2 linked regions of the Mus musculus genome follow. The protein of the gene in region 2 interacts with the protein of the main gene of each other region in a pairwise test. Links are inferred from orthologs where the notes say so. Each region holds a gene or a part of one and is shown on either strand. Other genes may lie near its edges.

The links.
Region 1: the proteins of Lmtk2 (region 2) and Myo6 interact in a two-hybrid assay, tested with the Homo sapiens proteins (2 studies listed by BioGRID). The link is inferred for Mus musculus from reciprocal best matches to the Homo sapiens genes LMTK2 and MYO6.

Annotation. Positions count from the first base shown.
Region 1 is NC_000075.6:80,164,014-80,167,906, reverse strand, and holds the start of Myo6 (unconventional myosin-VI), read right to left. Parts: upstream 2,874-3,893; 5' UTR 2,678-2,873; intron 1-2,677. UniProt on the Homo sapiens protein: Myosins are actin-based motor molecules with ATPase activity. Unconventional myosins serve in intracellular movements. Myosin 6 is a reverse-direction motor protein that moves towards the minus-end of actin filaments.
Region 2 is NC_000071.6:144,173,172-144,176,985, forward strand, and holds part of Lmtk2 (serine/threonine-protein kinase LMTK2 precursor), read left to right. Parts: intron 1-437; coding exon 438-3,306; intron 3,307-3,814. UniProt on the Homo sapiens protein: Phosphorylates PPP1C, phosphorylase b and CFTR.

The sequences.
Region 1 (3,893 bases), on a different chromosome or scaffold from region 2:
TATTTTTTATTTCTTAAAGCACAACTATTTGTTCATAGCTATATGCCAAGGCCTATGTGGGGTAGTCAGAGGACAAATTCACAGAAGTTGTTTCCTTGAGACCCAGGTATCCAACTAAGGTCATCAGGGTTCCAGACAAGTGTTTTTACCTGCTAAGCATCTCCCAGGCCTAGATATCTTAATCTTGAAGCATGTTTCCCTCCTAAGGTTAAAGCTAATTGAATAACATTTAAAAGACAGCTACTGTATTAAAGAGCAACAATCTAGCTCATTTGAAGGACAAAAACCAAAGTTCCATCCTGACCAGAAACATCATATACTGCTCAGCTACAATGAAATCAATCCAGGATTAGATTGCAGTGTTAATTCCTATAAACCCATCAAAATGAAAAGCACATAATACTTAATACATGCTGGAACCACTCCAGACGTGATGCCAAAGCATTGGGTCACTGCTCAAGGCCTTGAGAAAGAAGACAGAATTCTCAGTTCGTTCTAGACTCCATGCATGGCCTATCACAGTTTACCTAGGGTACCGACTCCTAATCTCCAGATCAGGCCTACAAAGGGCTCTCAATAGTTCACCAAGTAAACCGAAATCAAGACAACTTCTGGGCAAAGGAGGAGAGAGGCTTTGTTGTCAGAGACTTCCATGTGTACTCAGAGTCTGGACTTTGCCCCTCCAAAGCTACAAGCAAGTATTCATTCTCTGAGCCTCTGTTTTCTCCTCTATAAAAGGAAAGGCTGTCAACCTGGAATATTATTTTGTAAATCAAACCTTTAGGGGTTTTTTTTGTGTGTCACATCACTACTAAATCGCCAGCTCATAAACTGTTAACAAAGTATCTCTTTCTGGGAATCACCATTATACTGTGTGAGATTTATTCAAATTGCAATGTGTTTTTCAAATTGCAATGTTTAAATAAGATGTTCTAATATAATATATATAATAATATAAATGAAACTCCAGTACCCAGGGCCTCACACACACACACACACACACACACACACACACACACACACACGCGCGCGCACACACACACACAAGGCAAGGTCTTTACCCACTGAGTTACACTCCCAATCCTGTACCCTAAGTGGAGTTTTGAATACCAAGAGAAAGTTAAAAACTAGAGAATGGTTTTTTATGTGGAGTTCTTATGGATTTATTCAGACCTTGCATGGTGGAAATCTTTAAAACCATCTAAAGGCCTTTCAAAACCCAGATACAGTCCAGTTGTCTAAACAATAAGTGATCCACCACAGACGCCAGGCAAAGTCACAACAGGATGAGCGAGGAGCCTTCGGCTTCTCTCCGATTTCCTGGCCACTGTTATTTTAAAATTTGATCGTGTAAACAAGGGAAAATCCCTTTCGGACAAGTCCCATGGACTATAATTTGCATCTTTGTTTTTAATATGTTGTAGCTTCTATGAAAAATCATAGTTGTTCACTTTTTCTTGCTCATGTGTCTAGGTACTAAAGACCATATGTAAAATCTATACTCCACGGCTTTTTAACTGTATAATCGCAATACTCTTTTCTTAAGGGTTGTATTCTGTCCCTGCCTTTTACAAGTAACTTTTGAAAACAAATACAAAACTTGAAAGGAAGAGGGAAAAAAATGGGTAACAGATCACACACACGAAATAAAAACACTACAGGCCGACGAGCATCAGACTAAAATGACTTCTATTTATCACTGTGCCTGTTTACTCCTGTGCAACTGCAAACACAGAAAATGGGCAGACATTTAAAAGTCAATGAGCTGTTCTGAAGAACTACATTGTTTCTGGGCTTCCTCTGTCCCCCTTGTAGCATTTGTGGCCATTTCTAAAATTAATGCTAGAGAGCACTAAGGTAATTTTTTTTTCACTAAACATTTCCCAGTTGGAAAACCACAAGCCAAGATGTCTTGAAGTCGAGTTAATTTGTACAGAAATGCTGCTGTTCCGCAGCCAACCTTTGGACCATGACCACCACCAAGCTCAAGACTCAGATTTTATGGTGTTACAGCCGAGCCTCAAAGGCTGTTAAAAGTCTCAAGCTGACTAACTATATTCGAAAATCCTGCAACTGTAACACGAGAGCAAACTAAAGTTTTATTCAACACATATGAAATCGGAGCAGCGTTTGTGTAGCGCTCCAGCAGTATCTCCACATTGGGATTTAAACAGCTCTGCCCTACATACTTTATGCCGGATAAAATGTATCTTTGTGTAAAAGTTCCTGACATAGATTATCTAAGAATGGCCTTATCAAATTATTTCCTATTTTAAAATACAATCCACAGCTAGCACGTTTTAATTAGTTTAAGACGATTTGGAATTAAATAACAAAGTTATTTTCAGCAACACATCCGTAAAACTCACACTCAAAATACTAGAACGCTTAGGAACTAAAATTCCAGCTTTATAGTATGCTACCATGGTCTTCTTCGACACAGCTAAATTATTAATGGTATCAATTGATCTTTACTCTGACAACAAACTAGACTGTGTAGCTTTTTCACTGTGTTTCGAAAGGAGAAAATAAAACTATCTTGCAGTGTCGGGTGGGACTCGTCAGGTGACAGGAGCCCCGCTGGCCCGGGAAGGGGAAGCCAGAGCTCCAGTCCGCGCCGGGCAGAGCAGAGGCCAAGGCGGTGAGGACAGGCAGGCGGGCAGGCGCCCACACTCACCCGGCGAGGCAGGTGCGCGAGGGGTCGCGGCCGTGGAGAGGCTGCCGGGCTGCGGGCGCGAAGGGCAAGCGCGACACCGCGGCCGAGAGCGAGCACCGGAGACGACAGCACGACGGCGGCCGGGATACGCTTCCTGCTGGGACAGATCCCGGATCGGTCTCCACCCGCCGGCCAGAGAGCCCTGCAGAGTGCCCAGCCTGCGCACGTCACTGCTACGGAGCGCCCAAGGGGGCGGGAGGCGGGGCCGGAGGCGGGATTTTGTGGGACCGGGGCGGGGCGGCTAAAGAAAGGGCGGGTCTTCATTGGCCAGTGGGCGGGAACAGCCTAAGGGGCGGGGTCTTGGGGCAGAAGGGCTGAGAGGGGCGGGGTCCTAGGCAGCAGGACAGGGAGGACTCGCAAAGCGTAGGGTCTTGGGAATGAAGGAGCAGAGGGACGTGGCCTCAAGTCAAGGAACGCCGGGGCGGCTGTGAAGGGGAGGCCTCAAGAGCTAGGGTTGAGAGGGGCGGGACCTCATGAGGCGCCGGGGAAGGGGGTGGTTGAAGGAGTGCTGGGTAGGGGCGTGGCCTAATGGCGTGGGGCAAGAGAAGGGCGGGGCCTCAGGTTCCGACCGCATCCCTGCATCCCTGCAAGCCAAGGGCTGCAGGTAGCCCCTCATGACATTCCCTACCTCGCAGTGGTAGTTGTTTCCACTGCCACAGCGAGGGACCACAGCAAAGAGTCAGTTGAAGAAAAGTTGAGAGTGGGACAGGCGAATTGCGGAGGAACTCGCTTGTGGGGATTAAGGGTGGCACCGCAGCCCATCTAGGCTCGTGCTCCTCACCTGCCTGCGTCAACTTCCTGTTCAGCCCTTGGAGGATTGAACCACGGAAGAAAATTTTTTCTTCTCTGGCTAGCCTCCCATGCAGATATCATATTTACTTCTTACAGCCCCTGTATTTCCACCTCGCCCCCTTTGTTGTTGTTTATCTGGACTCTTGAGAGAGTCTCGGTCTGTAACCAGGCAGTCCTGGAACTCATCATGTAGCCCGCGCAAGCCTAAGAATAGTGACAATCCTTGTGGGCTGGTTTTATAGAACTGAGCCAACTGGCCCGCTTTATCTTTCCGGTTGTTTAATTTTACTGTCCTTATAAGGTCATATGTGGGTCATCTTTTTAAATTAAATATTACATTCCTATGCAAATTTGAGAGCAAACATCTCCTTTACTAGAAAAAAGA
Region 2 (3,814 bases):
ACCACCACCACCACCAAAAAAAAAAAACAGGCATATCCAAACAAGAGCACAAATCAAGATTTTAGAAAAAAAAAATTCTGCATGTTTTTAGAATGCTATCAAAACATTAACAATAAATTAAAATTTATTAAAAATAAATAAAAATTTAGAACAGCAATCAAAAAATTACTTTTTTTGATGGGAAGACCATTAGAAGAAAACCAGAAGAAGGCATGATCTGGCAGAATACTATGAAATGTCCTGGTTTGGGGGGAATGGGTGCCTCACTCGTTCCTGCCTTCCTCTTGTGCTGTAATCACACTCTGAGTTAAGCCCTTAACCGTGGCTAGCGGTGGTCGAGGTGCAGGAATCTTAGGGAGAAGGGCGTGTTGAGTTGGCTCTGAAGTAAGGTTCTTTCCTTATGTCCCTGTTGTTAACGTCCCCTGTGTGCCTCTCAGGTACGAAGTGCTGCAGTTCTGCTGGCTGCCTCCTGACAAGAGGCCAGCCGCAGAAGACGTGCACCGTCTGCTAACTTACCTGAGGATGCAGAGCCAGCGGGACTCGGAGGTCGACTTTGAACAGCAGTGGACTGCTCTCAAGCCCGACACCAACAGCAGGGACGCATCCAGCAGCGCTGCCTTCCCCATCCTTGACCACTTCGCCCGGGACCGGCTGGGTCGGGAGATGGAGGAGGTCCTCACGGTGACGGAGACCAGCCAGGGCCTGAGCTTTGAGTATGTGTGGGAGGCTGCCAAGCACGACCATTTTGATGAGCAGGGCCGGGGCCACCCAGATGAAGCCCTGTCTTACTCCAGCATGTTCTTCCCAGTGGAGGTGTTTGAGAATTCGCTTTCAGATCCTGGCCCTGGCAAGCAAGATGACAGTGGCCAGGAGGTGCCCGTGAGGGCCCCTGGGGTGGTTCCTGTGTTTGATGCACACAACCTCTCTGTTGGAAGTGACTACTACATCCAGCTGGAGGAGAAAAGCAGCAGCAATCTGGGACTGGACCCCCCTGCACTGCTCACAACTGAAGTAGATAAGCTAGAGAGGGCTGGGGCTGAGGAACCCAGGACAGAAGAGGATTTCTTCCAGAGCAGTGCTCACCCCAAAGAAGCCAGCTCTACCGAGGACTCACGTGCTACCAGCATCCCTGGGAGCCCTTTCAACCTATTTAGTGACCTTGACAAAGCAGATGACCTGCCCAGTCACCAAAAAATATTTGATCTAATGGAACTAAATGGAGTTCAAGCTGACTTTAAGCCAGCCATCTTGAGTTCAAGCCTGGATGACCCCAAGGACACCTGCCAGTCTGACAAAGAAAAGCCCCATAAGCTCTTGGACCAGGGCCCTCTGTGCTTATCAGAAAGCCTTTTGCACCAAGATCACTTTGATCCACTGAGTGTCCAAGAATTGTCAGAAAACTTTTTATTTCTTCAGGAGAAAAATCTACTGAAAGGCTCTCTGACTACCAAGGAGCAAGTGAGCGACCTTCAAACAGAACTCAAGAATGCAGGTTTTACCTCAGCACTGTTGGAGTCACCCCAGAGAGGCTCTGAAAGTTCTGAACTTGAGTTCCTGGAAAATACACTAGACTTTCCTTTGTCACAGGGAGACACGCGTGGACAGAATGAAGGTGCAGGTGTCAGGCGTCACAGTGGTACCTCACCACAGGCCTCCCCAGCCTTGCTCACAGAAGAAGGATCTCCTACTGCCCCCACAGACCCAATTCTGAAGCCAGAAGAAACCAAATCCTTTAGAGATGTCAGAGTCCCCGAGGACTCCATCTGCTTGGAGCTAGGCCCCGACCCCGTGACTGTTGGAGTTGAAATTCCTGCTACTGATGCCAAAACCCTCGATGGGGGCAACAGACCCCCAGACGTCACTTGCCAAAGCAAGGAGGCCTTGAGTCTAACCAACAGACACCCCATCCTTGTGAATGATATTACTGCTCAGGGTAGCGTGGAGAGTTGTCTTCCAGAATCGAGACAGGATTTACAAAATGAGCCATTTTCAGAAGACCCTCTTAGTGTCAGCTCACTGGAGAAACACTCGGAAGCTGCGGAGACTTTAAACCAGCTTAACTCTAAGGCTGCCCCGGAGGATGCAGCCTTGGCGTCTGCCCTCTCCTCGGATTCTACCAGCCAAGATAGCCTCTTAGAAGACAGTTTGTCAACACCCATCCCCACCTCAGAGCAGTCTGTGGAGACGCCAGACTCCCTGGATTCAGTGGATGTCCGTGAAGCATTGCTAGAGTCCCTAGGCTCCCACACCCCTCGGAAACTCTTGCCTCCCGATAAGCCTGCCGACAGCGGCTATGAGACGGAGAACCTGGAATCTCCTGAGTGGACCCTGCACCCTGCACCCGAAGGCACTGCTGACTCAGACGCAGCTGCAGCAGGTGACAGTGGCCACAGCAGTTTGCCTCCCAACCCGGTCATTGTCATCTCGGATGCAGGCGATGGCCACAGAGGTGCTGAAGGTCCTCCTCAGAGCTTCACACTTGGCCCCCAGAGTTCATATCGAGACTCTGCATACTTCTCAGACAATGACTCGGAGCCAGATAAAAAGCCCGAGGAGGTCCCAGGAACATCTGCCAATGCCCTGGTGTTGGTAAAGGGCCAGTCCCCACCTGAGTCAGTTGTCCCAGAAGAAAGCTCTGATGTCAGAGAAGGCTGCCTGGAAGCCCCACAGGACAAGCCAGATCAAAGTCGGGTGTCTACTTTGCAGAATTCTTGTCACTCAGAACTACAAGAAACATTGCAGCCCACACCAGCTGATGCTTCCAGAGAGTCCTGTCCTGTGAACGACGAGGCCAGCAGCCCCTTGAGTTTGTTGAATTCAGAACCTAGCAGCTGCGATGACCTGGACACACAGGAAGATCGCCCATGCACCCTGGCCTCCACAGGTACAAATACCAATGAACTCCTTGCATACATGAGTTCCACACTGGATAAATCTTTGCCCAGCCACTTGGAGAGCTCCAAGCTGAAGGAGCCAGACATTGAAGGGAAATACCTTGGCAAACTTTGTGTGTCTGGGATGCTGGACCTCTCGGAGGATGGGATGGATGCCGATGAGGAGGATGAGAACAGCGACGACTCGGACGAGGACCTTCGAGCCTTCAACTTGCACAGCCTAAGCTCTGAGTCTGAAGACGACACGGAGCACCCTGTGCCCATCATTGTCAGTAACGATGATGGTAGGCACCTGCGGAGTTTGCTGAAACCCTCAGCTGCCGAGGCCATTGAGCAGCTGCCGGAAGACTGGAAGAAGGAAAAGAAGGCAGTGACATTTTTCGATGATGTCACCGTTTATCTGTTTGACCAGGTATCTCTATTTATATTGTAGAGAATTTCAAAAAGGTGTGAAGCTAACTGTGGTCTGATTTGATTTTGTTTATAAACATCCAGAATTTTATTTCAGTTTGTGTGTGGTGTGCATGTATGCATATTTGTGTGTGTGTGTGTGTGTGTGTGTGTGTGTGTGTGTGTGCGCACATGTGCTTCTCTGTGGGGAATGGAGGTTGACGCTGGGTGTCTTCTTTGTTCACTTTCTACATTATATAGAGAGCCAGGTTCTCTTCCTTACACCCCAAAGTTACTGATTCAGTTCATCTTAGCCAGCTTACTCTGGAGGTCTGTCGTCTACCTTTTGTACCCTGAGATAACTTGTGGGTATTTCTCCACATTTACATGGGTGCTGGGGACTTGAACTCCAGACCTTATGCTTGCTTGGGAAATGTTTACCCACTGAGCCATCTTTTCAGCCCCCCAAATTTTATAACTTCTGACTCCAAAGACACCATCTTTTTGGTCCCATGGCTATTCATGCCAGC